Oreochromis niloticus: one gene and its partner. The protein of the gene in region 1 interacts with the protein of each later gene in a biochemical or structural test. Links are inferred from orthologs where the notes say so. Each region holds a gene or a part of one and is shown in the gene's direction. Other genes may lie near its edges. The genes, in order: irak4 and E3 ubiquitin-protein ligase pellino homolog 1.

Region 1 (15,443 bases):
AATATTAATAGAAACATGCTCCAGATACACCACCTCATGTGGTCACAGCTTTTTTAACACTTACTACCCAGTAAGTGTAAAAAAAACTTACATGTTTGTGCAGTGCAACATATAGCATGTAACTCATACACAATTCACAACAATTTTTCTAGTTTATTGCTACATTTTTACATCTTCAAGGCCAAATTAGCTGCTGAGAGTACTGTATGAGTTAATCTGAGTGAAACTAGTGCACTGATACAGTGAGCAAAGCAAAAGTGTAAAAGTTTAAACCTACAGTATCTTAACTGCCACACAGTCTGTTATCTAGCAAAATGCTGTGGTGGTTAACACTATCGCTAATGTTGACTAAACAACGTCACAGCCAAAGATAAAAAAAGTATTTACATCCGGAGATTTTTTTTAGATTTGTGTCCTTTGTCTTTATCGAGACAAAATAAAATTTGTGAGCAAATTTCTATAAAAAATCTTACTGTTTTTTATTTCCACTCTTCAATTTAAAAAACAACAACAAAATAAAACAGGTATGCTTATATTAATAAATACACCTAATGGTCTGTTTCTATGTGTCATGCTGTATTAAATTCAGACATGGCATTGCATGACTCCTGGCATTTTGCCAGATGCCCCAGAATACACCGTGCTAACTAGTAGCCTTGGAGTGGTGGTGGAGATGCCAGGGGAGGCTGTTCTTTTTGTTCTCATGCTGGTGTGCTTGGTCGGACAGAACATTTTGGGATCGCAGCCAGAGATTTTTGAGGAAATATGAGAGGGCAACCTCCCGCAATCACCCAGTGTCGATGACCACTCGAGTGCAACGCAGTGGTGAGCTGCCACTCAAGATGCCGCCAGATCATTCCTTAGAAGTAAACTCCTGATGAGCTGTGGATGTGTGAGTGTGTGCTTGTGTGTGTGTGTGTGTAGGCCAAGAGGAAATTGGACAGGCAAACAGCTGCTCTTTCCCTGCAAATTCTTCAGCCCACAAGGCAGAAATGAAAGGATACTTTGAAACACAAAAATTACTTTAATTTCTGGTTGACTTCAAGCCGTATTGCCTTAAATTATGTGAACTATTATACGCTGCAGAGGAAAAAAGACCGGGTTTCTTTGTGTGTGTGCATGTGTGCGTGTGCTAGAGAGAGAGAGAGATTTCAACCATGCCCCATATTCTAGGTTTATGCATATTTAAGGACGTGCTAATATTTACCATACTAGTCATTAATTAGTAGTTGCAGGCTGCCCTCTATGTGTCTAATGGGCCATTACAGTATTGTTGTGTGCACACATCTGACCAAGATTAAACATGCAACACAGAGATGGGTCTCATCAACATTAAAGCTAGAAACATTTAAAATTCATAGCCATAAAACACCTTCTGACACAAAAGGCTATTAAAATGTTGTTCAGTCCCTGGGGTTTTTCTCAGTGCGCACTAAATCGGATCAATGGTGTTCCAGTTTGAGAGAAGACCTCCTGCAGTGAATTCTCAGTGTCTATCAGTGGCACACTGCTAAACTCCTTGTATGCACAGGCAGTATACATTCAGAGATACATTGAGGCTCTTCCATTTGACCCCGATGCTGTGCCCATACCCCCCGTTGCTCTTCTCTGGACTTCCCCATTCATTTGGCTCATTTGAATTCAACTATGGGAGACCTCCAACGAGTTGGGTGAACTGTTAAACTCCCCGACAAGACTGCTAATTAATTTCAACAGACTGTACACACTGCATCTTTGGTGCTGATTTATGAGCATAAATCAGTCTCTCTCTCTCTTTTATTTTAACTAAAAAGTGGGATGTATCAGTCTGAAGCCCATAATTTCTTAAAGCACTGCATGCACACATGCATCAGGGAGGGTTTTGTGCTGCTGTCTCTTTTTAGGTATAAACAGTTCAGCAAATGAAAAAGTGTTCAACCTGAAATGTGACATGCACAGGGCAGAGAGAATAACAAAGGTGTTGGATTCAGATTTTTGTCGTTCTTCTGTTCGATCATCTATTTTTGCTGCACTTGTTGTTTAATCTTTGCCTTTACTGCTACTAGAGTCTTTGTTAAACGTGCCGTTTGGAGCAAGCATTTGGAATAAGCCGAGACATTTGCTCAAGAGACCAGTGATATTCCCCCTTCACTTCTATGCATGGAAACATTTCTCAGTTGGATTCAATATACATCCTGACTGTTAACAGCAAACCATGGCGGAAGCTTCTAATTATTCAGCTATCTGATTTGAAGATGTGATCTCTTAAGAAGGTGTCAAAGAATGCCTTCACTGCTGTACTGTCAATTTCTCACATGTCATCATAGCATCATAGCATCTCCATTTACTTCCAAACTTGCCCTCTGGTTCTGTCAGTGTACATTCGATCATTGCCACAATTGTGTTGCAGCTTTCCTTTGAGGTGCAAAAACTCCTATACCGCCAAAAGGATTCGTTCACTCTTCCAAATTATTCAGTTCAGGTGTTTCAATCACTTCCATGGGCACAGGTATATATAGTCAAGCAGCCAGGCATGCAGACTGCTTCTACAAACATTTGTGAAAGAATGGGTCACTCTCAGGAGCTCAGGGAATTCCAGTATGGTACCGTGATAGAATGCCAGTTGTGAAATTTCCTCGCTGTTAAACATTCCACAGTTATAGTGGTACTATAGTAAAGTGGAACTTAATGGTAACAGCAGCAACTCAGCCGTGAAGTGGCAGGACACATGAAATCACAGAGCAGGATCAGCAGATGCTGAGGTACATAGTGTGCAGAGGTCACCAAATGTCTGCACAGTCAGTCGTTACAGACCTCCAAACTTCATGTGGCCTTCAGATCAGCTCAAGAACAGTGCATAGAGAGCTTCATGGTATGAGTTTTCATGGCCAATCAGCTGTTTCCAAGCCTTACATCACCAAGGACAATGCAAAGCACTGGATGTTGTCATGTAAAGCACCCTGAGACACTGGACTCTAGAGGAGTAGAGACATGTTCTCTGGAGTGACAAATCCCACTTTTCCATCTGGCAATCTGATGAATCAGTCTAAGTTCATAGGTTGCCAGGAGAACCATGCTTATCTGGCTACACTTTCCAAGTGTGAAGTGTGGTGAAAGGGGACATTAGGTGTTTTTCAGGAAATGGGTCGGCACCTTAGTTCCAGTTAAATGAACTCTTAATGCTTCAGCATACTGAGATATTTTGAACTATTTCATGCTCCCAACTTTGTGGGAACAGTTTTGGGACGGCCCCTTCCTGTTCCAACGTGTTCCATCATGTGTTCCAGACATGCATTAAAATTTAACTATACAACTGATTTTAATTTTTTGAAATTTGCAGATTTTATTCACGTTACTTGCAAAATTTTAAAAACACATTCCCTCTTAATAAAACACACATTTTCACTGTGGTACAGTTGTGATGCATAATGCTGAACACATGTTTTAAAATGGTATATTTGTATATTGGATCATTTGCAACAAGCACCAAATGGTTTTAATGGTTTTAAAAAAAATACTCATTATTATTTGAGAATTGTGCCTTTTATGTCCCCTGTTATTGTGTTTTATTGTTATTCCCTATCTGCTTTAGTTTTGAACTATATCACAGTCCTTTGAAAATAATATTCTAATGGGATTTTTTTTTTTATTATATAAAGGCTACATCTGCTATTCTGAGGGTGAAATTTCTCAAAATTTTTTCCAAAACATTTCAATAATTTTAACAATTTTAACTGTTCAACTTATTAAGTTGAACAGTTAATAAGAGTTTTCCAGACTCCTAAAAGCTATGAAACAATAACGTCTGCTGCAAAAAAAATATCCCACATGTAACCCCATCACCATCAAGGTCATTTGGGAAATAGACGTAATTCTGCCTGTTATGCAATCACAACGGACCATATAGCATCCGTGGCTAGCACAGCTTCTCATTTCATGTGTCCTTGTTTACCATTAAAGTTTCCTAGATATCACATGACTTCCTCAGATCACTTCCTGCACCTGCAGCGTTTCCACCCGCTGATTTAAGCCACTTTGGCACGTCTACCACCTCTGCCCTTGTTCCCAAACTACAGGGGACCTCGCTTTCTGCTCTCCCTCACATCTCCACCTCTCCTTCGCTTCTATCAGATCCTCTTCTCCATCTCTTTCCCTCTGCACTCTAATTATCGAGAGCCTTCTCCCCTGTGCTGGCTGTTAGTTTTCCTTTTTTGTGTTGTTGTTGTTTTTTGAACTTTTATACTTCTCCTCATCTTTAGCGTCAGACTCTCCCTTTCCAGCTCTCTTTATTTTCTTCTCCCTTCATCCTTCCACTCGCCACAGGAGAGCAGAGGCTCTGGCTTCACTCCCTGCCTCTGCGTGTGATGCGTGCATGCAGTGTTTGGATCCTGTCAGTCGGGTTAGAGGAGGCACGAGATGATCAGGCACTTCAAAGAATCTCCTGCGCACAGGTGTGAGAGCTATCCTTCACCAGGAGCACACACAGGGAATTTACCTGAGCTCTCGGCAGCTCAGGTCCTCGTCAAACAAGCGTCTTCTTTGATGATCTCTTGGGCACCGCTGGCTTGTGTTCGCACCCCAGGTTAGCACACATACACAGAAAGAAGACAGGTACAGATACACTCCAACTCCTACTAACAACATACAATTGCTCTAATGAAGTCCCATGTCATTATGCAGAGGTACTCAAATGTCCTCACCTGTCATTTAATAATAAACAACTTCTGACGAGCTCCAGTTGGTCTCATGTATTATGTATTTGCAAAAGATGGCATCAAACCTCAAGCATAAAGAGAATACACACTTTTGGGCACCACAATTGCAGTAATGGCTCTCATTGCTTTTCCTTCACAAAATAACTTAATTGCACTTTGGTTATTTATGTGGTGAAGTCTCCTTTTCATGTAATGCAGACCATCTGTATGCATTGTCATAGAAGTTGTTTTTAAGTTTATGAGTCACTAACTTTTATTGAGAGTATCACTCGTGGTGTCATCAGCCAAGCCTATAAAAATATAATCATAACAGGCCTGTGGGTTACAGTTGGCTCTCTCTGCTTAGATCATCTCTTGTATGCTCCTTTCACAGAGACATAGTGAAATGACTCGCAACTGTGTAAAATCATGCAAATGTTGCTTGTCATCATCGGGACTCATCAAAATCACATGCAGCATTCAAGAATTGTGTTAGCGTGTGTTGTGAGTTCAGTCTGTTGGTGCAGTGATGGCCATGTGCTCGGGGTCACTGGTTTCACAAGCTCCATGCTAAAAGTAATAGCCTTACATACAAACATTATTTATGTCTTACTTAAAATAGGTGTTGGATGACTTTGGGTAGATTGAGATGACATTTTTGAAGTTTGCATTTGAATATAATTTAATAAACAAAAGTTGAACGCAATATTTTTTAATGTAAGAACAATCGTTCAGAGAAGGAGTGAGAACTGTGCCCATGCATGACTGAAAGTTTAATATCAAATAAGATCAAAACTCAAGCACACTTGAATTTTTGCTTTGATGCAGTTTGGTGTGTGCACAGTGCTAGCAGCAGGTCTCTGTGGATGGTTTGTTTGATGGGTTGAGCTGATGTTAATAGCTCAATAAATATCAAATGGATTTTAATTTCACTTGTTCATATTAGCATTTAAAACATGCTATTGTAAGACTTTTCTGATGCAAAAAAAGTTTTAATCTTGTGTGTGGGTTTTTTGTCTGAAATTTATGTCTCTCACACACGCATCTTGCACTTCATCACTCCACCCAGTAATCCATCCCATCCAGTAATACAGCTAAGCCTTCCATTTGCACATGGAACTGATCACAGTTCATCAAATACAGTGCAAATAGCAACTAACACACCATAAACAGATCCAGCTTTTTTGTAACACAGAAACAACAAAAAAGGTACTCCAAGCAGTTTAGACCAAATGCCTCCAGCTGTTTGCCAAATTTGTTTGACATGAGATGGCTCGATCGAGGTCACCGCCTTGATGTAGTTTTAAAGTTTCCAAGAAAAAAAAATCAGTTTGTCCTGCAACACATTTGGGGAGTTTATTTGGGGTGGGGTGGGGGCGGGGGGGGGGTGTCTGTGCTGGACTGTGACTGTGATTTAAACACCAGTGAAAAAAAAAGTGCCTTATGGGTGATGGATAGGCTGATCGATACCTAACATCCTGCAAAAATGACACCCTTTGGTTTACATTGTGTGTTGATGTAGCAACATAGTAGTTCATAAATGTCCAGTTGAGTGTTTAAATCATGTATTCACCATACACAAATAGGTACAAAAAAGATGTGTGTTTGTTTTTTCATAATACTTACTTATATAGCTATATGATCACATTTCCAAATGAATGCATGCGTTAAACCTAGAGTTTAATAAGAGAAGATGAAGATCGAGATTGAGAAGATGTTAAGGGAACTATTTTCTATTTTCTTCTGTTTTTGTGCATTTAAATTATATGCATACAAGTATTATAATATTTGATATACGCAGCAATTATTATGAATTCAATCACAGTTCTAAGGTCTCTCTGTTATTCATTCCATCCATCCTTTTCTGCCTATCCCAGATATCATTTGGGTGAGAGACAGTTTACACCCTGAGCAGCTCGCCAACCTGACGCAGGACTAAAACAGGCAACCATTCACACCAACGGGCACCACTAACTGCATGTCTCTGGAAGGCAGAGCACCCACGCAGACACCATGCAAACTCAACACAGGAAAGGCCCAGCCGAGTGGTGGACTCAAACCCAGGGTGTTCTTGCTGGAAGGCAACAGCACTAGCCATACACAAACAGCCCCGAATGGAAGATTTGCTTTATTTCCATTATCCACTAGAGGGCACTGTGACACTGTAAACCACCATCACACGACAGCTGTCTCCCTTTCTGCTCTTGTGCTCTTGTGTTACCAAAAAGATAATTATATAAATAAACACACGGAGGTTTATTGTTAGTTTGTTGTGCCCGCTTACAGGTAAGAACAGCCAGCACAGACTGTATTATACCACAGCACTCACTCTTTGCGTTTCCGCTTTGTAGGCGGAGACCTTTTGTGGGCCAGCCCTGCTGGTTACGTTTGGGGAAGTTGCTCAATATCGGAAAACACTGTTTTTTTAGGTATGTGAGCAAAACATAACTGTTTGCGATTTTTCTGGATTAAAGAATCCACTCGATGGAGTATAATTAACGTCTTCAGGTCTAAGATCATGACAACATGACTGTTAGATAAAACCCAATCTCGGGTTTGGTCACAAGTTCCCCGCAGAATGGATAGTTCAGTAACTTCCGCTACTTATATTCGTAACCTCGGTTATTGTTTACGTCGCAAGTTGTCCGATTTTTTGGATCCTCAGGACAGGTGGAAAGAAGTTCTTGTAGATATACAGAAACCGAGCGGGGAGCCGAGGTATTCCCAGCTTCATGTCAGGTAAGATGGGGGCAAACTTTCTGACGTGCTTGCTTTTCACTGAATGAAATCACACTGATTGTTTACTTATTGTTTACTGAATATGTGCCGCTGTCTTTTAAGGAGATTTGAGGGTCTTGTTGCACAGGGTCGCAGTCCCACAATGGAGCTGCTCAATGACTGGGGGACCACCAAGAGCACAGTGGGTGAACTTGTGGACATTTTGAAGAGTCACGAGTTACTGGCTGCTGCCAATGTTCTGCTACCCGGTATGACTTTTAAAAGCCATTAAATAGTAACCACACGCAACAGGTAGAATAAACCTTTGAATCTTAACTTACCCCAAATCGTTTTCCCAGTATCCCCCCTTTTTTTAATTCTTGTAAGAAAATAAGATGTTAACCACGAGTTATGAAATTGCAATAAGAGATGTAGCAAAAAACTTCTGAACTTTTTGGGTAGTGGATGAGTAAACATCTGTTATGTTATATTAAAGGTGTGATGCCTGGAACATAAGGGGAAACAGTCAAACCGCACTGATACAGGATGTAAAACCCAATCATTTATTCTGATCATTTTTTGTTTTTGTCCTCACACATTTGAAGAGTCCAGTCCATTGGAGACACAGCTGACTCCTTTAAAAACCCGAAGCACTGCTTCAACCAGACTGCTGGAAGAGAGAGATGTGCAGCAGCCTGTCACCACTGTGCTGCAGCTTCGGACGCCAGAGGAGAACACCGAACCAATACACACAGGTCTTTCACTTTTTGATTATGTATTAATTTTATGTTCATATCTTGATTGAACATATGACATTGAACATATGACACGTATGACATTTATTAACACAGTCACTTATGAGTCATATTCATGTGATGTTTTTAAGTAGATAATGTTCATCTTTCATTATCTGCTGAAAAGCCTGGTTTCAGTGAATTAAAATGTCATATCTTTCTCAGCACCATGTAAATTTGCCACTGCAGCACTAAAGTAGTGCAATAAATCTACTTGATTACATTAGAGCACTGTAAACAAAGCTGCTCTATAGTGGTTTAGGGTAGTCAACAAAGATGATATTTTGATTTCAGTAAGTGATGCTGCTTCTTTGTAAAGATGTGATTTTATGTAATCGACAGCAGGTGGCAGCATCGGGCTCTTGATCAGAGAAGTTAATGAGGCAGTTTACTGCGTCTCCCCCCTTAGGCTTCTCCAGTTTCTTATATAGTGACCTGATGAGGATCACAGGCAACTTTGATGACCGGTCCACGTCAGCTGGTGGCAGCCGAATTGGAGAGGGAGGCTTTGGGACGGTATACAAAGGTCTCCTGGATGACAAACCAGTTGCAGTGAAAAAACTCAATCCAGTAAGTGAAAATATTTTTAACAGAACCACATGCCTCTGTGTACTGCTGTTAATTGCATTTGAGATATTGTATTATTTAGGTGGACGACATGCCACTGGACAAGTTGCAAGATCAGTTCAACCAAGAGATCCAGACTCTGAAAGTGTAAGTTTCCCTCAGGAAGAAGGTGAAGAAGCATATTTAACATACGTGTATTTACAAATGCAGGTGTGGTTTAATAACAGCATTTGTTCCACAGGTTGAAACACGAGAACTTGGTTGACATGGTTGGATTTTCCTGTGACGAACAGCACCTGTGTTTAGTGTACGCTTTCATGGCCAATGGATCTTTATTAGACCGACTGGCTTGCTTTGTAAGCATTATTTACTCTTCTACACAAACAGTCTGCTTTTCAGTCCCAGTGCTTTCAGAAAGGGATTTAATTACATGCTTTTTTTTTTTTTGTTCATTTAGGAAGGAAGTCCTCCACTTTCCTGGCACCACAGGTGCTTGATAGCAGAAGGAACAGCCAAAGGTTTGGAGTATCTGCACTCCAACCATCACGTCCACAGAGATGTTAAAAGGTTCATAGAGCGAAAGCTTTCATCGTTATTGGTTTAGAGATATCCCACAAAGAAGAGAGAAAATGTCCCGTTTTTGATGTCCCGTACCTTTATGGAACACTATACACATTACATCACATTACTGTGTTAGACAAAGAACCAAAAAAAGACTGGGGATGTAGAGAAAGCTTACCCATATGGTTTTCTGCAGATCATATGACAAGGTTCTCTTTAGAGCTAAATAAAAATTAGAAAAAGGTGAAGATCATGAAGATCATGAGTAATTAGTAATGCAACAGTACAGGTTGGGCACGAAAGGTAGAGTTTGGTAATTTAGTGAGTTTTATAGAGGCTCATGAGCAAAATCATGCAAGAGGTATTGATGTTTTAGTTTAACTCTTGGCAAGGAAGCCAGTAAAATCACATTTCCCTAAATGTAGAAATATACATTTTACATGACACATGACGGGATGTTTTGTTGCTCACTCTGGCTCGTATTTCTTCCCTGTTAGTGCGAACATTCTGTTAGATGAACAATTTGTGGCCAAAATCTCAGACTTTGGTCTGACGAGAGCATCGGCCAAGCGAACATCGACGACCATGATGACTGAGAGGATCGTGGGTACCCGTGCGTACATGGCACCGGAGGCGCTAAGAGGAGAGATCACACCAAAATCCGATGTCTTCAGTTTTGGAGTGGTAGGCTTTCTTCAGACACACACACACAGATACACACAGATAGGGCTGGAGAAACTGCAGCTGTAATGTAAAATGTAGAGCAGTACTCAGCACTTTCCTTGACTCCAAGGTTCTCCCAAACTACTGACACATATATACCTGCAGGACACAAGCGTTGCAGTATACTTTTTTCCCTATTCGTGAAAAAAGAGCTCTATTGTTATTTATCATCTGTCGTTATCCCAAATCAGTTGTGGGACACAGCTATGTGTATTAGTAGCTATAATTGTCAAACATATTAGATGATTTCTGGGACCAGTGCTTTATTAAAATGTCTGACCTTGCCACGAAGCATATGCATTCCCACATGCTGTGGGAATACTGCAGTGTTGGCGATGTTACCCGCCACATATTAGGGTAATAAAGTTTTCCTGTTGCCCAGAGCCGTGCGATTAACCCCGTCTCTCTGCCATCTACAGGTGTTGTTAGAAATATTGTCTGGACTCCCGCCAGTTGATGAAAACCGGGAGCCACAGTTCTTGGTAAGTTACACAAAAGAGGCTTTCATCGTGTTATCTGGCAAGCTACATTTTGTGCTTACGGCTGATTAAAGGCTTTGCATTTAATAAGTCAGGGAACATTATCGGTTAATAGTCAATTTGTTAAGGATTTAAACAAAAAAGTTCAAACCTTTCACCTTTAAAAGTTTCATCTGTGCTCATCATGTGCTGATACCGCATTTGATATTTAATATACAAGTGAGGATCTATGGAACATGCTTGCAGAAGATGACAGTTACATTACTGTGTGTGTGTGTGTGTGTGTGTTCCCTACTTTATTTCCTAGATGGAGATGAGGTATGACATAGACGATGAAGATGAGGAGCTGACTCTGGAGGATTTTGTGGACAAAAAAATGAAAGACTGGGAGCTGAGCCAGGTGGAGAGTATTTACTCCTTGGCATGCAACTGCCTCCATGACAGGAAAAACAGACGGCCTGTCATCAGACAGGTACAGGAAAGATCCCAGCAGATTTAATGTATAGGTCAAGCTACTGTGTTGGCATCTGCACAGCTTTGCACCTTGAGCTATTTGCCTGTGTTACGAGCCTCAGCTGGACCAGGCTGAATAAGGAAATCCCACAAAGGGAATTTTTTTTGTTTTAGTTTTTGAAAAGAAAAGAGGATCATTAACAACTGAGTCGGGTCATAGTTTGGGTTTTCTTTTAATGGCATTTATTAGCAAAAATACATTCACCAGACACTTCATTAAATACACCTGTTTAACTGCTTATTAACACTAATATCTAAACGGCCAATCACATGGCAGCAACTGACTGCCATGTAGGCATGGTTGTGGTTATTTAAGCACCTCGAGGTGACTTTTGTTGCGATTTGGTGCTATGTAAATAGAACAGAGTTGAACTGAATTGAATGATAACCTGCTGAAGTTTAAAGCAAGCATCAGAATGGGAAGTAAAGGTGATTTAAGTGGCTTTGACCGTGGTGTAGATGGTGCCAGACAGGCTGCTCTGGTTATTTCAGGAGCTGCTGGTATTTTCCCACATAACATATCCAGTGAGCGGCAGTTTTGAGGGTGAACATGCCAGAGATCAAAGGAAAATGGGCAGACTGTTTCAAGCTGATAGGAAGGCAACAGTACTCGTTATCTTAACAAGGTATGCAGCAGAGCATCTCTGAATGCACAAGATGTTGAACCTTAAAGCAGATGGGATGAGCAGCAGAAATCCGAGGCCACACTTCACTCGGACAACAGAACATTGGAAAAACATTGCCCGGTCTAATAAGTCTTGATTTCTGCTGACATTTAGATGATAAGATCAGAATTTGGCATAAACAGCATGAAAGTCCAGCAGTTTACCAAAACCTCAGGCTGCTGTTGGTGTCATGGTGTGGGGGACATTGTCTTATCACACTTTGGACCCCTAATACAAACTGAGCATTGCTTAACCACCACAGCCCACCTGAGTGTTGTTGTTGACCATGACCAAAGTAAACCGACATTTTAATGACTGCTTCCAGCAAGGTAACACACCATGTCACAAAGCTCAGATCGTCTCAGACTGGTTTCCTGAACATGACGAGTTCACTGTAATTGAATGGCCTCCACAGTCACCAGATCTTAGCCTTAATAGAGCATCTTTGGGACGTGATAGAAAGGGAGATTTGCATCATGAATGCATGATGCAAATCTCCCTATCCACCACATCCTGACAAATCTGTGTGACGCTATATTAACCAAAATGTCCGAGGAATGTTTCCAACACTGTGTTTAATCTGTGCTGCGACGAATTAAAGCAGTTCTAAAGGCAAAAGGGGGCCCAACTTGATATAGCAAGGTGTACCTAATAAAGTGTATGGGGAGTCTATGTAATAACAAACATATTATTTAGGGGATTTAGGGAGCAAATGCAGGCAGTAAGAGAATGGAGACTGCACTCTCGTCTTGCTGAACTAAAGGAAAATGTCATATTGTTGCTACGATATATGTTTGCTAACTTCATGATGTAGTTATGATTGTTGTGTGTCTGAACAGGTTTACGCAGAGATTCACGGAGTCGTCAAAAACATTGCACTGGATCTTGATAGAAAGGCGTGAAGCAAAGCATCGTGGGAATTCTGAGCTTGCTTCAAATCACACTGCAGACTGACAGAAGAATTACTGCACTGCAAAGCTTTAACTATGTTTTTTTTAAAGGCTTGTAGCTTATGTGTGCAATTGCTGTAAAAATACTGCTGAATACATTTCTGTGAGGCTTTTAAACAAATCTAATGGCCGAACTCTTTCAGAATGCTGACTGCGGTTATTCTCGCCACTGTTAAATGTATTTATTACGAACAATTAAAGAAATAAAGTGAAAGAAAACGTGATTTAAATATTTTATTTTTCTTCTTTAAAAGAATTATAAGAAAACATAAGACCAAACATGATTTTTTTTCTATTATAATGACACTGTATGAACATAAAGGGATATTCCCTTCAAACATGAGGTGAGCGAAGTAGTTTGCCTAATATTAATCAGTACATCAGTGGATGTGGCAACATTTTGATCAAGGTAATTATATTATTCCCTTTCCCATCCAGTAGCGTGGCATTCCCTGTCATTATGGAAACCAGAAAAGCTGGAAAAGCTTCCTTCCTTGTGAAATCTGAAATGTGTGGATGTAATATTTCTGGAAGCCCCAGTTCTTTCACTGTGATCCTTACCGACGTGGACATCTACCTCAACAGACCAGACTGTTTCTTAATCAAAGAGCATCACACAGCTACAATATGTACATTTACAGCACTTGCATAGAAAAATAAGTATCTCAGCAGATGATTTTTTTCATGTAAACCACAGTTATATCAAAAAAGAAGTCAATTTTTTTCCCCCAATATAAAATGGACTGTTAAAATGAATCGTCAGACACAAGTTTGAGAATTTTTTTTTTTCTGCTTTGGAGCACCTCATTGTGCGAACAGTAGGAGACAAATAATCAACACATTAGACACAGAAACATTAATTGACACGAGGAGGAATGGAAGTTAGGAATTTGAGCACGTGAACACAAAATGGGGTCTTTTCATCATATTGGCGAAAGTTCACATTAGTTACACTAACATTTTTGAAGTCTCAGAGCTGGCAACGATGTGAAAATTAAAAAAAAACAACCTCATCTTTGACTTGGTTTGGGCCTCTCTGAATTATAGTAAAAGGATTGTTATGAATGTACTAACCTACATGGATGTACTTCCATTTGGCAAGCTACAAATGGAAATTCTGAAGTGTGTCATTGCTCAGTTGTCCTTGGCGTGCATAGCTGGGTCTGTGGGTGAACTCTGTGGGAATTTGAGGTTTTTGTCTTATTATTTTAAACAAGCGTGTCGAAAATGATTAACCCCCCCTCCCTCCTGCCTTCCCCTCCCCAAAGCAGGAATGTTCCTCTGTGGACCGTGCTCGGGGTAGAGGTGGTGGTCGGGCGGTGAGGTCTGTTTAATCTTCCTCCTCTTTCTCCCCCGGTGGTCGGGTGATGCGGCGACCGCCCTTCTTACCAGCGGGGCCTTTGGGCTTGGCAAAGCGCTGCTTGTGTGCGTGCTGCTTGGGATGCACCTCCTCGTACAAGAAATCACTTGTCAGTTCTTCTCCGTTTTCTATTTCCAACTGGGAAACAGAAATATTTAAAAAGTGCATTAAAAAGATGAGCTGGACCACTGGTGCATTGTGTGACAGATTAAAAGAAAACCATTAGCCCCTGTGTCCAACATTGAGCATGTTCGATATCTGTTATGCTGTTGGAGGTCCAATAGAACGGGTCACTACAAATGAATTCTAAGATGACAATATGGCTTTTATTTGCATGACATTTGTTTAACCTGAACGGACAGTGACTTCTGGAAGTGTTCCTGAGCCTGTGCAAAGTTTTCCATGACGTGTGCTGTTTTAAATACAGCACATGTGGTCGAATCCAAATATCGATAGTGTCCATACCAACGCTGGTATTGGTATCAGATCGATAGTAGTGCCATATTATTAATACTTTGTTTCTATCCTCTCCTCTCAGTTCAGTACGTAGCCCACTGTGTGCCACTGTGTGTTAACATTACTTATTTGGAGGAAAACTAAATTTAAATTAAAAAAACCCTCGAATATCCAATATGAAAAATGTAAGAACTTTTTTGTTGACTGTCATGTTCAGAATTTGCAAACTGATGCTGATTCATCTAATAAATCATGACACACTTCTCTCCCCTACATAAGCTGCCTTCATACATTAAAAGCATTGGCAATATGATGTGTAATGTAAAGTGGAGTAAATTATGGGTAGAGTGCCCTTCACCACCATCATCAAAACACCTTATGAGGAAAATATCCTTTGGAAGCATGGCGCTCCACCCTTCCTGTAAATGGCTGGAGATTTACTGTAGAATCAATAATCAGGATCTTTGAAACTTTTTTGGTGGCTCCACTCTGTAGGTTTATCTATTCGTCAGTCTTGTTTAAGCAATACATGTAGAATAAAGTTTACATTTGTAATCAGTCATATCAGCCACCAAAACCATTTCAAACTCTGTATGGAAGACAGTACACAAATACTTTCGTTATCAGGAAATCTCTTATGTAAATAAATTATATTTATTCCCATAAGAGATTTGATTATTATAGTATATCACAAAACAGTGTCTTACTTTTTTCTCAATCTCAATCTGGAGATTGTTTTCCGCCATGTCGACCAAGGGATTTTTGCAGCTGGAATACAACATCCTCTCTTTGATGCTACACTTGTACCCTGGCATAGAATAAATGAAGACTACAAAGAAAGAAGGAAAGGACAGTGAGATGGGAATCACATGAAGCACCATTCAGAGCAGAACAACACAGAAACCTGTACAAAATACAGTGTTTGTTTGTTGTTTCCCGCTGTTCGTAATAACCCATGGGAAATTATTTACCTGTGGACTCTAA
Region 2 (16,076 bases), on another chromosome or scaffold:
TGTAATATTAAAACAAATGTATCTGTGTCTAAAATGATATATTATACATGTTGGTGGGTTTCTAAAATATAATATCATCTGAAGAAGTTTTCTAAAGATTAGCCTAAATTGCTAAACTAGCCCATTTTTTTCAAAATGGTGGCTATGGGGCAAAGTGAGCCAAAGGCTATGGGGTAAATTGATCCAATGGTTCAACCTACCCCACCATAAGGCACTGAAATTTATTTAAGGCTCTGACTTATTAAATAGTATTTTAGTTCAGTATACTGAACCCTTTTGTTGTATTTGTCATATGTTAACTATTATAGAAAAGATATCATGCCAAGGACCTACAGACGGAAGACCAGCTGGGGCTCAACACCCCTGGAGGAGATTGAAAGGGCAGCGAGTGAAGTCAAGGGAGGAAAGTCCATAAGATCAGTGGCTAAAGAAAGACAAATTGACAGGTCAACACTCAGGAGATATATTAAAAAGAGGGACACACAGGAGGTCAGATCGGTTGGCTATAGTGGAACAGCTTCAGCAAAGAGAGTCTTCTCTGAGGAGGTGGAGAAGGAGCTAGCAGAGCATATCAAGAAGCTTGCAGAGCAGTTCCATGGCATTTCCCCAAAGAAATGCCGTGAACTGGCATTAGAATTGGCAGGCAGAAACAACATTCCTACTCCCAGCAACTGGACAGAGAAAGGTTTAGCCAGTAGGAAGTGCAAGAAACAACATTTCAGTAGGTTGGCACAGACTAATGTATTTTGTGTAGTTTACTACTTTACCATTACATTTTTTAGGTAAAGAATGGTTCAAGAATTTTTTGGCACGCCACCATCTCTCTTGCCGTATGCCTGAGGCAACATCTTTGGGAAGAGCTACAGCCTTCAATAAGACTACAGTTGGGGAGTTCTTTGACAATCTGGCTAAAGTGATCGACAGGTAACAGAAGTTATCTAATTGAAAACATTAATAACTATTTATGACAACTACAAACAACAGTTAAGTGAATAAATATGCGTACTCTCAGCTAACATTTTTTGCATTACTTAAAAATTTAACTAATCATCATTGCTCTTTTTTTGTTTGACAGGTATAAATTCCCCCCAAACATGATTTTTAATGTTGACGAAACAGGTGTAACAACAGTACAGACACCAAAGCAGGTAGTGGCAGAAAAAGGAAAAAAACAAGTGGGCTCCATCACATCTGCTGAAAGAGGCGAACTGGTGACTGTAGTCTGTGCTGTCAATGCGACTGGTAACGCAGTCCCTCCGATGTTTATCTTCCCAAGAGTTAGATACAAAGACCACTTCATTGCAGGAGCACCTCCGGGATCAATTGGTACCACTACAAGATCAGGCTGGATCAGTGAAGATGTCTTTGTTGTGTTCCTTGAACATCTGGTTCAGCAGACCAAGTGCTCCCCTGACCTGCCACTGCTGCTAATCATGGATAACCATGAAGCCCACATTTCACTGAAGGCTTTGGACATAGCAAAAACAAGTGGTATTGTAATGCTCACAATTCCACCCCACACTTCCCAGGCCTTCAGCCTCTGGATAAGTGTGTGTATGGTCCATTTAAAACCTATTACAACAGAGCTCTTGATGGCTGGATGAGGTCCAACCCAGGCAAAACTGCCAGCATATACCAAATTGCTGGTTGTGTGAATGATGCTTTCATGTCAGCAATGACACCATGAAATATCTCCTCGGGATTTAGAGCCACTGGGATTTTCCCTTACAACAGAGATATCTTCTCTGATGCAGAGTTTGAGCCATCCATGGTGTCAGACAGGCCCAACCTGGAGCAGCAGCCTGCTGCTGAAGGTGTTGCACCTGTGGTTTCAGCCTCTCTTTCTGCTGAGCTACCTTCACCAGACCCTGTACATGCATGTGGTTCACGAAGTGACCCCAACCATGCTCGATATGTGTCTCCCACTGATATTCTACCCTTACCCAAAAGTCAGCAGCCCAGGAAACAAACAAATCGAAAGCGTGTGAAGACACGAATCCTGACTGATACACCTGAAAAGCAGGCAATTGAGAGAGCCCATGAAGAAAGGACAAATAAACTGAAAGGCAAAAAAGAAATAATCCACAAAAAGCAAGGAATGTGGAAGAGGAAACAAACCCAGACAAAAATTGCAGTGGAAAGCAGCTCTGAGGAGAGTGATGTTCCCATCCCATTTGAAGACACTTCTGAGTATGAGAGTTCCAGCGATGAAAGAAGTGAACCAGATGTCTCAGACCTGGTAGTTGGTGACTTTGTCATCGTAAGATTTGCATCCAAATCCAGGAGCCACCATTACATTGGCCTGGTTGACAGCTTTGCAGACAACGAAGTGAGTGCCAGATTTCTCAGAAGAATCCGAGGGATCACTAGCAGTAAGAAACCCACGTTTGTGTTCAAGGAAAATGATGAGGCATCTTTCCCACGCAAGGATGTGCTGAAGAAGCTACCTCAACCTCAACAGGCTGGAGGAACTGCAAGGAGGGAGCAACAGTTCATATTCCCCTGCAACCTTGATCATTGGAATATTGAATAGTTCTTTTGAATAAATGGTTTTGAACTGGTGGTTTGTTTAGAAACCACCAGTTTCCAGGTTTGTTCTCACAGGTTTACAACTGTTAAAATGGTTTGTTTTCACAATATGATCAGTTTTACATTTTAAAAACTACATGGTCAGTTTGCCCCAAGATGGCTCAGTTTACCCACTGACTAGGTTCAATTTACCCCTAATCTGGGGCAAGTTGAGCCAAAGGAGCATTTTTTTTTAATAGGTCATTATTTTGGGCAGCGTCATCAGACATAGATTCTGATCATTACATTTGAAAGGAGACATCCTGAAATAAAGGAATATGTTATCATTCTATTTCTGTGTCATTTTTTTCTCACATCCAGGGCAACATGAGTAAAAAGTGGCTCATCTTACCTCACTCTCCCCTAACCCTCTCGTAAACCCTGTTCACCGAAGTCTATTTACCAACATACGTTAAGATATTACACATAAAAAAAAAAACACACGGAAACATTGGAAATCAGTTTTTGGCAGGCGAACACTTTTTGGCACGACACCTGTCCGCGCTAGGGGCTGAACCATTTGTTAATGATGGAGGGGTGGGGGATAACACTATGCAATATATTTAGTTTTAGAATTTATATTTAGTGTTAACTGTAGTTAATGTTATCTTATTTTAATAAACAACACTGTCATATGCAAAACTAGGGTGGCAAGACATCATTTTTGTGTGGCACATGCCACCCCATGCCGCAGGGTTTGTACTCAACTATCTGAGACTGGCTGTGAGTCATCGACCTGCATCTTTAATAAGCATTAACGTCACATCTCCACATGTTGTCTTATCACGTTATTCTACCGTATTTCTTAATCTACGGCAAGGAACATAATACATGTTCAACGGATTAAAGCATATTGGTGTTTTTAAAAACAACTGCCTGACTAAAGACTCAAACCGTGAAACTTCAGAGGATGGAACATTAAAGTGATATTAACTTTAAATAAATATATATGTGTCTCGTTATTCTAGCGACGGAAGTTGTGTTTGAGTTTAATTAATCCAAATTTTAATTGTTTCGATGAATTTAAATTTACCCAGCAAGTTGAACGACGAGTAAATGATACATTAAGTAATAAAAAGTACACGTGTTCCGATTCTTTATGCGATATAAACCACACCGACAATTAACATCCAAACGCCATAAGCAAGCTAATAAAAACAAAGCACTCGAGTCTGAGCTGACCTGCGAGTCGAAAAACGTCTTCTTCTGGTTATCCCTGGATGAATGAATGAAAACGCGGTCAAGAAGCTGGGTGTGGGAAAACATGTGCCGCCAAAAGCGTTAGAACAAGGAAATGCGGAAACATGATGTGTCGGAACTGAAGAATCATATTGTCGCATTATGACTTGAAACGTCGAATTAGTTCGAGTGCTTCCCCCGCTTCCAACCCACTCAAGGATTGTGCTAATTAGTCTAAGGATTGTAACATGCAGTCCTATTAAGCATTCTCATTAAGTTCTTCTTCTTTTAACGAGAACTTGGCAGAGATGATGAGCCCCTTAGATTGGTGAGAAACCAGAAGATACAAATATGGAATGACATTTAGGTTATAACAAATGCGCGAGCAAAATAATAATAATAATAATAATGATCTGAGCAAATAATTTCATTTCACAGGCGCAATTAAATTCCTCGCGCCTAAATTCAACAACGTATGAAGTTATGTGGAGGCGGAGCCCAAAGTAGGACGGGGTCCTTATGTGATTGCTTACTTTGATGGACACTTTCGGTTTTTGGCTTAATCTGAGTTACTCTTATACAGCAAAAGAAGCGCTGTTTTAAACCGTACTTGTTTACAATTTGAAAAATAAAGTTTGCCAAATTAATTATCAACAGTTATTGCTTGCTGTGCAGCAGTGGAAATACACATAACTGTCACTGGATTACTTTAATGCTGAAGAACCAGAGGCATGTTTTATAGGATCTGCAGTGCTGTCCCATTAATCTGCTGTACAGTATTGCACAGCTTCTATGATTTAAAAAAAGAACTCATAACGAGGACCAGGAAAGGAAGAGTGCATCAGAATCTGGCAATTATACATTTGGCCAAAATCCAGACAGTTAAACCAGCCAGTAGAAAGTTGCTCAGTCTGCATCAACAGTGAATTTTGGAGGTGGGAACATGATGGTGTGTGTCTGTTTTTCAGCATATGGTACTGGCACACTTCAAATAATTGAAGGAAGGATGAATGGAAAAACGTACCAAAACATTCTTGATAAAAATCTGCTGCCAGATGATGCCATGGTGCATTTCTTTCAAGTTCATCCCAAAATGTGTTATATTTTTAAAGGAAGTACTGTCAAGAGAAATTGAACCACACACTTGAGTTGGTTAGAAATATGGTGTAGTATAATATTATATAATAAGCTCAAGTCATTCATATCCAGTTATTTACAAAGCAATAGCTATTATTCATTTCCTACTCCTGCATGAGGTTTTTGTAATCAAAGAAAACATCAGTCATGCTATCCTTATGTGATTTTCACAGCACCACAATGTTTTAAGGATGCTTAAAAAGAGCAAAAGAAATAAAAATGTTATTACAATTATCTGTCAGTTGTTTAAATAGAAGTGGAAAAAGCAGAAGAAGACAAAAGTAAAGATCAAAGCTGCTAATGACACCCACCACAGTCATGTCATCAGTGAACTTGATGATGTGGTTCTAACTGTGCATTGCTGCACAGTCGTGAGTCAGCAGAGTGAACAGCAGTGGGCTGAGCACACAGCCCTGAGGGGCTCCAGTGCTCAGTGTGGTGGTGTTGAGATGCTGTTACCGATCTGGACTGTCTGAGGTCTCGCCGTCAGAAAGTCCAGGAGTGGGGGTGGACTTCCTCACCAACACATCATTCTGAGCGTCAAACCGTGGATAGAAGTTGTTCAGTGCATCTGGTAGGGAGGCGTCACCCTGGCAGGCAGGTGTCGTCTTTCTGTAGTTGGTGATGGCATGGATGCCGTGCCACATGCGCTGCATGTTGCCAGGTTGAGTTGAGCATATAGCATATAAAAATGTATAGCATATAAAATTCATATCTAAAGATTATCAGCCTTGTCTTCAATCAGATGATTTAGACCTTGACAGGCTGAACTGTGACGTCAGAGTTTAATCTTCCTCCATAGACTAAACATTGAATTCAGTCTCCTGCAATTCAGTGTTTAGTCTACACAGTGGCACACTGCAGTTAGTAATGTCTGACATGACTGTTAGTGTATGCTATTGTTCCCGTTGTTTGGGAAACGCTTTCCACCTTGGGATCCTAAATACAAATAAAAGAAAAGGCTGTAAAAATCAGATCAAATACTCTCAGTAAAGGAACATGACTCATTTTCCAGGAACTAAGATCACTTCAAAGTTGGACAGTGCTCTTCTTCCATTACCAGCACAGCATAGCGTTTTACCTTAACCGGAAATAACGCTTCTAGGCAAGAGCCTTGTTACAGCTGTTCTGTTTATCCAGTACTTGTTATTTTTGTCTGTTGTCTGTCTCTATGTGTTAGCCTGCCTCAAACTGGCATAAGAAAATAGACGGATCGATGTTTTACGTATAATATCTGATTTAAATTGTGTTGTGACATGACTGGAAAAAATACCAAAAAAAAAAAAAAAAAAAAAAAAAATCAACACTATTTACATAAAAAAAACTACCAAGCTAACTTTTTGAAGTACATTTAGGAACAGGATGAAGCTTGGACCTCTACATCTTTGGGGACGGTTAATCAAAATGAACCAGTTGGTAACTCACTCTTGTCTTTCAAAAGTCTGAGCAGCAGCCTAATGTACCAAAATGCATAACAGACACGTCGGGGTTTAAACAGACATTATTAACATTTTACATACATATTATCCGCCTAGCTTACTCATTTCCGGCGATTAAGGACCCTGGAATGTACTTGACACGTATTTTGCTCACTACCGACTTCTTGGCTTTAAATATATTATCTCATGCGCAGGATGTTTTATGCTTGTGTGCTGTCATCTGTGCTATGTGGTTTACATTCTTCTATAGTTACATTTCCTGTCTTTCATATTTATATTTTAATTGATTGTTACTAAACCATTGCCCCCAGGATTAATAAGTATTCAGATTCTGATTCAGATTTTGATTTGAATTTAGCTGAAAGACCTAATGTGAGGAAACTTTTGACTAACTAAAGAGAATGTCTTATTGGGGTAACAGCTGCAGCAAGTCATAAACTTAGGTTTATGACAATCATAGTTGTTTGTGCACGGCTACACACGCAGACCACAGAGAAAACTGGAAGTACAGGTTTTGTATTTTCATAGTAAAACAAGTGTTAATGGTGCAAACATTTCAGCATCTCAAATAACCATGTTCTCTTAATTAACTATGAGGAAAAACTAAAAACTAAAAGTAGACATGAAAATCATTTTAGTTAACTAAAATAAAAATAAAAACTGGAAAAAAAAATCTATGCGTTAGCCCTGCGACAGTCTGGCGAACTGTTCAGGGTGTACCCCGCTTCTTGCCTAAGAGAGCTGGAATAGCAACCCTTAATAACAGAATGGATGGATGGAAAAAAACTGAATCAATTTAATAAACTTAGAAAACTAAAGAAATGTATATGTATATGTAATTTCGAGTTTATAAGACAAACTAATGGCATTTACTTCAGCTTGAAAACAATTTGGTATTTGAGTAAGTATTGAGTATTTTGGTATTCAAGTAAGTTACGTTGTTTTACTCTGAAATGTGAACCGGAAATCAGTAGCCTTGATAGCTAAGAGGCACAGTTGAGTTTGAAAACGGAGAAGCCAGCGTTCGCTCAGTGTGGGTTTGTTAGGAACTATATCGATAAAACGTCGCCGAACACCTGGTAAAAACTGAAGTAACTTTGACATTTTATGGTCTGAAACGGCTAACAGCGTTTGTTCCCTGGAACAAAGACATCCGGGACATTCGACTGCTTTAAGACGAACAGTAACTTCGGTGAGTTAATTGTCTAAGGAGTTGATTCTTTTCGTCATTGTTACCGCCACTAACGCCGACTAAGTCTTCTGCAGTCAGTGTTAACCTTATGCTAAATAAGTACCTAATGAACTAACACATTCTCTCCTTTTTCTCAAGTTTTACGATCGAAAAATGCTAACTAGCTACGAGTTACCGTAATGACGTTATATAGGGCAACAACAGTGTACCCAATTTCTTAAGCCATTCAAGGTTTAGGTTTAGGTGTAAGCGCTAAATAACCATATACGCGTTTTTTTTTTTCACTGACAAAATCCCAAACACAAGTTTTTTGGGGGGGTTTCTCGTGAAAATGTGTGAGTTTGGGTTAACGTAAATCAAATTTTATCGACGCTTTTTTATGGTCGTATATGGTATTAAATTTCGTAATAAATTACGGTGACACGTCTTTTTCGTAGTGACTTGTAAAGTGGAGTTGTTCTATGCATGTCATAAACGACTCTGAAGTGTCTGCAGACTCCAGTTACATAGCTTCTTTTCTTTAATAGTGTGTCGTACTGATTTGTCCACAATAGAGTGGCCACAAATAGAACTCCAGATATTTAATTAAAATGTACACACAACACTGCTATATTCTACAGCTCATTGAATTCAGGATTTGAAGTTATTATTTACATCAGGTAAAAAAGGTAGTGTGTGTATATTTAGTGTCTTAAACAGGGCTCTGTCCGTGGTGGTACTCCGTCCTGTCCTGTAGCCCAGCTGGCCTCCTTTGTCCTGGCCACACAGACTGATTAGCATTCACCATCCTACCAGAGCATCTGTCTCCACAGACACTGCTTTTGTTCCCCATTTAAATTTTGAAACTTTGTCCTTTTTGTCCATCTGTCCCCTCATATTAAAAGCCTACAGATGTGTCAGCCCATCTTCAAAGACGAATGTTGATCTAAAGCCTGGAAAGTTTTGAGTTCTAGGTGAGAGTTGCACAAGAGGATAAACAGAAGTGATGCTTACAGTTTACGTAAATTGAGATATTTTATTATCAGAATATCACCATTTATAGCTGATTTACATACTTTAACGTTTCTGTGGCTATTGTTCAAACTGGTATTCACAAACAAAAGAGCAGAAAAATTATGATATTAATCCTGAGGACGAATCTGTGAGAGAACTCTGAAATGCTAAGGATGGTAGTTGTCCCAACTTTGTCGCCAGAGAGCCAATCAACACCCAGATAATGAAACAGAAAAGCCATGTCTTTGACTTTCTACCACTAGAGTGAGGAGATCTCTGAAAATGTTGACTTTATTTTTGGCCAGTCCCCACTTTTTCACACCCCTCTTAGGTATATGCAGAACATGCCTGCTCGTGTTCTGGAGGCACCTCTGCGGTATGTGTGTGGAGTGGGAGGTATTTCTTCTTCAGAGGTTATGTGGAATCATCACAGGGTGTTATAGGTCTTGTACCTTGTAGCTGGTCTGGTTTGGTAAAAATCCAACACCTCCGCCCTCCTGTTATTTCTTTAACATTATTGTACATCAGAGCTTATCCTGTTGTGTCCATCTTTTGCTAACTAACTTGTATAGTACCCACAAGTCTTGGCTGACATTTCCTTTGAGCTTTAGGTTAGGATAACTTAATCTTTCATTTCAGCTCAATAATAGTTACAGATCTCAGAGTTTTAGAAATACTGGTTGGATGTTTCTTTCTGAATTTTAACATAGATCTATATCTTCAACTTTTTTCCAAGTAAACTCATAATTTTCTAGCATAGTTCAAAATTTCAAATAGATTTATTTTTAGAGTTTCATCATATACATGTAAGCCATAGAAGGGCTCCAACTCTCATAGCCATGATAGTTCTTTGCACTTTAGGATTGTCTTAATCCTAATAAAGGTTTTATCCCATGCTGGCATTCTGGCCTGGCTAAATAAGTGTGAGCCATCTGTGATTGGTGAATATTCTGCAGTTTTGTGGACTGTAAACACCTTACTTTCACAGTTCACAGTAATGAAACAATATAGTGGTCAGATAGAGGTACCCGTTTGTGTCAGGTGTTATTCTGTTGTCTTCTGTTTTTTTTCATAGTGGATAATGAAAAAAAGTGACTAACAGCTCAATGTACAGTGCTGTGGAAAAGTATTTTCCCTGTTTATGATGTCTTTCTTTTTTATTTTTGGACTTTTTGGCACATGATGTAAAATAATAAACAAAGATGGCATGAGAATTACAAATTGCAATTTGTAAATCATGATTTTATTTATTAATGGTCAGAGGGCCCGGTGGCGCCAGTGTTCGGCAGCCTCGCCTCTGTCAGTGCGCCCCAGGGTGGCTGTAGCTACAATGTAGCTTGCCATCACCAGTGTGTGAATGTGTGTGTGAATGGGTGGATGTCTGGATATGTAAAGCGCTTTGGGGTCCTTAGGGACTAGTAAGGCGCTATATAAATACAGGCCATTTACCATTTACCATTCAATGGGGGGAAAAAAGGCTGTTTAGACATACCTGGCCCGATTTGAAAATGAATTTCCCCCTGAACCTGCTGGTGTGGCACTTTTGACACCAAGAACTGCAAATGTTTGCATGGGTCTTTCACATCACTGTAGAGGAAGTGTTGTTAGTTCAAACCCAGTTGAAATGGAATGTTAACTTTCCAAAAAGTTCACCTTCTGCCTCCTCAGTCTACAGGGTATTTTCTGCTTTGGTTATCATTAAGATGTTTTTTTGGCAAATGTGACATGACCCTTTTGTACTTGTACTCTCCTATAGATTAGGGCTGTTCGATATAACGATATATATCGGATGACGATATAAAAACGTCGATCGTTTAATTTTACGCAATCGTTTGTTTTGTGGTGTCGCAAAATAAACTGTTTACGGCAATATTTTTTCATCGTTTTGATGGTCACTGTAGTGGCTATATTAATTTCTTAAAGTTCTTTCGTTCTCCTATATTTTATATAACCACACTACGGACGGACAAGCGCCTGTTTTTATGCGTTGTCGTTAGCAACAACGACGGTAACAGCATCGCCTGTTCGCTTGTTTGTGTTCCACATAAACCTTTCACAATAAAGCTCAAGATCCTGTTGAGACTTTTCAAAATAAACTGAATCACGTGAAAGAGCAGATTATTTACGGATGAGAAGTAAAAAAGAGCCGCCAGGTGTTAAAAAATAAACCTTAGACTAAAACGTTAGAACAGGCTTTTCCCTGCAGCACGCCGTGTAATAAATATTCACAAAGAAAACGGCGGCCGTTACAACTTATGTCTAAAAATGTATCGTTTCATGCATCGATTAAAACACTCGACTCCAGCTACATGATGCGCAGCTGGAAACACTTCCCGCAAGACGAGCTGCCCGAGATTCACAGAATTTACAGAAAGTGTTACGTTTTTGTGATTTATATCGTTATCGGGACGATAGAATTCTTATATCGGGATATGAGATTTTGGTCATTTCGCACAGCCCTACTATAGATGTTATTTTTTTGTTGCCTGCATTTCTTTAGATGATGTTCTGGTTTCTTCTTTGACCTCCTGGGATGAGTTGTCAATGAATGTTTTGAGTGTTTTTGGTAGGCCCGGTACTCCTGGGAAGGTTCCCCACTGTTGGAAGTTTTCTCTGTTTGTGGGAAATGGCTTACACCATGGATCAATGGAATCTTAAAGCCTTAGAAATGGTTGGTAAACCTTTTCTGGCTGGTGGATGTCAGTGACTGTGTTTGTTTCTTTAGACTGTGAGATGTTGCTTTTTGAAGTCTTTTTAGTCTACTCCACTTTGTAGGACAGATTCTATTTAAGTGATATCTTAATTTAACAGATCTGGCAGTAATCTGGCCCACGTGTGGCTAGTGGAATTGAGCTTGACTTTCCAAAAAAAGTATGTTTAATCGCAGATAATTTATAATTTGTTTTGTAAACATATTTATTGAATTTTGTATTTATAAACATCCAACACTTTAAACACCTTGAACATATGGCAGTAAGAAAGCACTAAGAACACAAGACATTCAAAAAAAAAATATATATATATATATATATATATTAATTGGGGTGCAACGATATTCGTATTGATATTGAACCGTTCGATACAGTGCTTTCGGTTCGGTACGCATATGTATCGAACAATACAACATTTTTTATTTATTTTATCAACTTTTCTTCTGACGATGCTGTCTGTGTTGAGCGCTCAGTGGATCTGCGTTCGACTACTCCACCTAGGCTGCACTGTCATGTGCAGATCCACTGAGTGTAGTGCAAGCTAGCAAGACAGAAGCTAAGCTCGTTGCAACATGGCAACTGCCTCAACGCTACCCGAAATTGAACCTCCCCCACCCTCATTCAGATCTGGCGTTTGGAACTATCTTGGTTTTCATGTGAAGCATGACCCTGATGGTAAGCGCGTCATGGACAAAAGTAAAACAGTATGTCGGATGTGCCACGCAATGCTCAATTTGTGGGAACTAGTGCGTTAGCGCAGTTAGCTTGTTAACGTGTTGACACCGTCCAGCCCCAAGCACGGGGCGATCCGCGGTAACTTGTTAACGGAGATTTGCCGCGTTATGGCGTTAATGTCATTTTAACGAGATTAACGCTGACCGCACTAGTGGGAACACAACGAATATGACTGCACATTTACGCCGACATCATCCTAGTGCAAAGACAAGTGGAAGCAGCCAAAAACAACTACTGCTACAAACTTTACCCGAGTCATTTAGACAGCCGTTAGCACATGATTCTCCTTATGGGGACCTGATATGTTTAATATGCTGCTGAGAGTATACCCCAGAAGAAGCGTATAGTATAGCTTTTATTTTGGAAAGAGCCATTTCTCTGTAATAAACTCTCTTTTCCAAAGATGAGTGATTTCTCGATCAGATAGATTTATTTATTTTTTTGTTGTTTCAGCAACATTAAATTTAAAAACTGTACTTTTGAGTTAAAATATATATTTATAATTTTAATAAATGATAAATTAAAAAGGCATGAACATTTTTTTGTATCGAAAAAATATCGAACCGTGTCACCAAAGTATCGAACCGAACCGTGAATTTTGTGTATCGTTGCACCCCTAATATTAATAATACTAAGGGAAATTTAAAAAATATAAAATAAAATCCAAAAAAAAGAGTACAGGATAGTCTGTACTGTATACATTCGTAAATTTAGTATTTAGCATATTTTCATTACATTATTTTCTCACCAGTTCCTCAACGTCCCCAGTCTTAAACAAGGACAGCTCCTCATATTTTGCTTTGTCTTGAATCGTCTTTAATAACCTCTCTCTTTAGTTCTCCAATTTTAGAGTCCAATTCATTCATTGTCTGAATTTATTAAATTTAGAACTGGTGAAGCTTATCATTTGTTCTCTAATATATGCTTTAAATGCTTCCCATCTGGTGGTTGCATTTGTTTGATTTTTATTTATTGAGAAGTAGAGATCAATGTGTTCTCCTAGGAATTTTATAAAGTCAGAATCTTGTAACCATTTAGGGTGTAAACGCCAGTTAAAACAGTGTCTGTTCACTTTGTACAACATTATAAAATAGCGAGACTGGGGCATGATCTGACAGAACAATACTATCATAAATACAGTCAGTTACACTAGGTAACAAAGATGAGGAAATAAGGAAATAATCTATTCGAGAGTGGGTTTTAAAAGTTGAAGAGTAGCATGAGTATTCCCTTTTGGTAGGATTTTGAGTCCTCCAGGGGTCACAGAGATTCAAATCTTTTATATATTGAAGTAGTTTCTTTCTTGTTTGAGAATGTGAGGTATCTGTCCCTGACGAGCGAGCAATCTTTGTGTCTAAGGTACAATTTAAGTCACCTGCCAATATTATCTTACCAGGAAGGACGGCCAATAACAAAAACAAATTCTCAAAGAGCAATGGGTTGTCATCATTGGGGCCGTAGAAATTAAACAAATTTATATTTTCTTTCAAGAAGGTACCCTGGACCACCAAAAATCTAAGCGCTCTGTCATAAATGGTGTTATTTACCTGAAAGGGCACTGAGTTATGAATTAACACCATAACCCCTCTAGAATGAGAGAGGAAACAGGACGCTAGTACTTTGCCTGGCCATCTCCTTTGTACTTTCACCAAGTCGTTTCTGAGTAGATGGGTCTCCTGGATTAAAAAACAATTGAGGACTTCAGATGCTTAAGCCTGGTAATAACCTGCTTTAGCTTAGTCAATTTTACCATCCCCCCCTTTACCATTGTATCACTTAGTATCTTTTTTTTTTTTTTTTTTCCCTTTTTAAAGTTGAGAGAGATGTTTTTGATTTCCTATGTGTGTTACATAGGGGAAGCACCAGTAAAAAGCAACATCTTTTGAGAAGTATTGAAAAAACAAACAAAAAACTGAAAATCTGCCATAAACAAATCCCCTTAGCTGTCACCCTGAACCAGACAGCCCTCCCTCCCTCTCCCTGACTTTCGGGTGGAGTTACGTGCACACACCGATCCAGTGTAAATAAGGGAGCAGTTAGACCAAACAATCTTAAAAGAACAAAATATAACTAACAAGTTCCATATGTCTCCCGGCGATAGTAAATATTTTCACGAACATGTGTATATCTGAAATGTTCATTAGAGTCTCTCCTGCAGCTTATAACACAAGTGAAGAACCCATTACTTCTGGGGACAAAAGAGCCAAAAAACCCCACCACCACCACCAACAACAACAACAAAAAAAAGGGCATAGAAAAGTCATGTGCCAACCGAATAGTGAAGTCCCAAACCCTCAGCAAATATGTTATTGGCTCATAATCCCCATGATAAGCAATTTTAGCTGATACTGATGGATATTCAAGAAGATTTTAAGCCTTGGACAAACTTCTCAGCCTCTGCTGGGGTTTCAAACTCTCGTATCTGTCTGTCAGATGGCACTCGGAGCTTGGCTGGATAAAGTATTCCGTAGCGTATGTTCATCAATCTCAGCTGTTGTTTTACCCTGTTGAAACACCTCCTTCTCCGGTGTAGCTCTGCCGATAGATCTGGGAAAAACAAAATCTCCCTGCCGCCACAGGTAACTTTGCCTTTGGCCCTGGCTGCTCACATCACTTGGACTTTATCCTGAAAGTTTAAAAACTTTGCGATGAGGACTCGCGGAGTGTTGGGTCGATTCGGATGTGTCCTGCTGGGCAGCCTGTGTGCTCTTTCAATGTAGAGTGGCGTTGGAAATGTTTCAGGTCCCAGCGCCTCAGGGAGCCGTCTTACAGGAAAGCCACCACATCATTTCCTTCCATTTTCTCCGGCATGTTAACTAGTCGCAAGTTGGATCGGCGAGAGCAGTTTTCGAGCTCGTCGTGTTTATTTGTGAGGAGAGATACTTGTTTAACAAGCGCATCAGACTTGTTTTTCTCTGAGTTAACGGTGTCTTCTACATTGCTAATTTGCACTTCTGCTTCATCCATGCATGCCGAGAAGTCCTGCACGTCCCTCTTAACGTCCTGTATGGCTTTCAGCACCACATCAATTTTTGTGGAAAAGTCATTCCTGATCTCGTTGAGAATCTGAATGACATCCATGTTGTGGGCCGTTCCAGTATTCTCGCCTACGCGTGGCTCAGGACAAGCATCATCTGCTGAGTTAGCTTGACTACTAGCATACGATACGTCGTCGTCCTCATTTGGAGAAGGGTTAGTTTTAACTTTATTTAGTGCCTTCTTCGCTGGTATATTTTTGCGTGAAATTATGCTAAATGGCCACAGGTGGTAAATTTTACTGTTCGTGGCGTAAAAGTATAATTCTAAGGATTTTACACCAGGAGCTCACCAAAAGCCGTATGTTCAGTTCAGCGCCATAGCCGTGCCCCGATAATTTATAATTTAATTCGGTGGCTATTTGTTTTTTTTCCCCCCTCAGTAAATGAATGATTTTGTGTTTATTCAGGTTGTCTTTGTCTCATATTAAAATATGTTTGATATTTGAAAAATATGCATAATAACAACGATGATGATGATGATAATAATAATAATAATAATAATAATAATAATCATAATAATAGTAGTAGTAGTAGTAGTAATAAAGATTTGTGGCAGTTTTTTTTTTTTTTTTTTTTTCCAGCTACAATTTTGATCTTCAAGATGAAATAAATGAATGAAATACCCATGGCTTTTAAAAATGTATATGATTAACTAGCAATAATCAACTGCATCTCCATAGTGTGAGATTAGCGTTTATATTGAGGCATGGAGGGTTATGACTTCAAGCCTTAGCAAAAGTCTTACAGCAAGAGTAACTGAACAACACCCTGAGAATACATCTGCTAATACTAGAGCAATTTACTGACGTCAAGCATCGTAAACTTTTAATCTGTCCACTAAGTAGAGTACCTCACATTAGAGACGTGGCACTTGTTAATACAAATGTGATCGAGAGTTTTCGTGTCGCAGATAAGACTGAAGGAGATAAGTTCAAGTTAGTCTGGGGTTTTTGGGGGGGTTCTTGGCTTCAGTTGAGCCTGACATTGGCTATCCTTGAAATCTGACCTTACAAGACTGGTTATTAGCTCAGTTGAAGCAGTTCAAATGGGTTTCAGATCCTGAAGAAAATGGGCAGCATTTCGT

Evidence for each region.
Region 2: of the proteins of irak4 (region 1) and E3 ubiquitin-protein ligase pellino homolog 1, one has a biochemical effect on the other in vitro, tested with the Homo sapiens proteins (4 studies listed by BioGRID and IntAct). The link is inferred for Oreochromis niloticus from reciprocal best matches to the Homo sapiens genes IRAK4 and PELI1.

What each region holds. Positions count from the first base shown.
Region 1 is NC_031972.2:47,510,195-47,525,637, reverse strand, and holds irak4 (interleukin-1 receptor-associated kinase 4), read left to right. Parts: upstream 1-7,024; 5' UTR 7,025-7,251; coding exon 7,252-7,412; intron 7,413-7,514; coding exon 7,515-7,660; intron 7,661-7,996; coding exon 7,997-8,146; intron 8,147-8,594; coding exon 8,595-8,755; intron 8,756-8,834; coding exon 8,835-8,899; intron 8,900-8,993; coding exon 8,994-9,108; intron 9,109-9,209; coding exon 9,210-9,319; intron 9,320-9,810; coding exon 9,811-9,997; intron 9,998-10,455; coding exon 10,456-10,518; intron 10,519-10,822; coding exon 10,823-10,987; coding exon of another isoform or gene 10,988-11,014; exon of another isoform or gene 11,015-11,959; intron 11,960-12,532; coding exon 12,533-12,595; 3' UTR 12,596-13,712; downstream 13,713-15,443. Other genes in the region: twf1a (twinfilin-1a), read right to left, coding at 13,974-14,141, 15,167-15,288, 15,431-15,443.
Region 2 is NC_031971.2:1,152,101-1,168,176, reverse strand, and holds the start of E3 ubiquitin-protein ligase pellino homolog 1, read left to right. Parts: upstream 1-7,289; 5' UTR 7,290-7,515; intron 7,516-16,076. Other genes in the region: uncharacterized protein LOC109202627, read left to right, coding at 1,769-2,533. UniProt on the Homo sapiens protein: E3 ubiquitin ligase catalyzing the covalent attachment of ubiquitin moieties onto substrate proteins. Involved in the TLR and IL-1 signaling pathways via interaction with the complex containing IRAK kinases and TRAF6.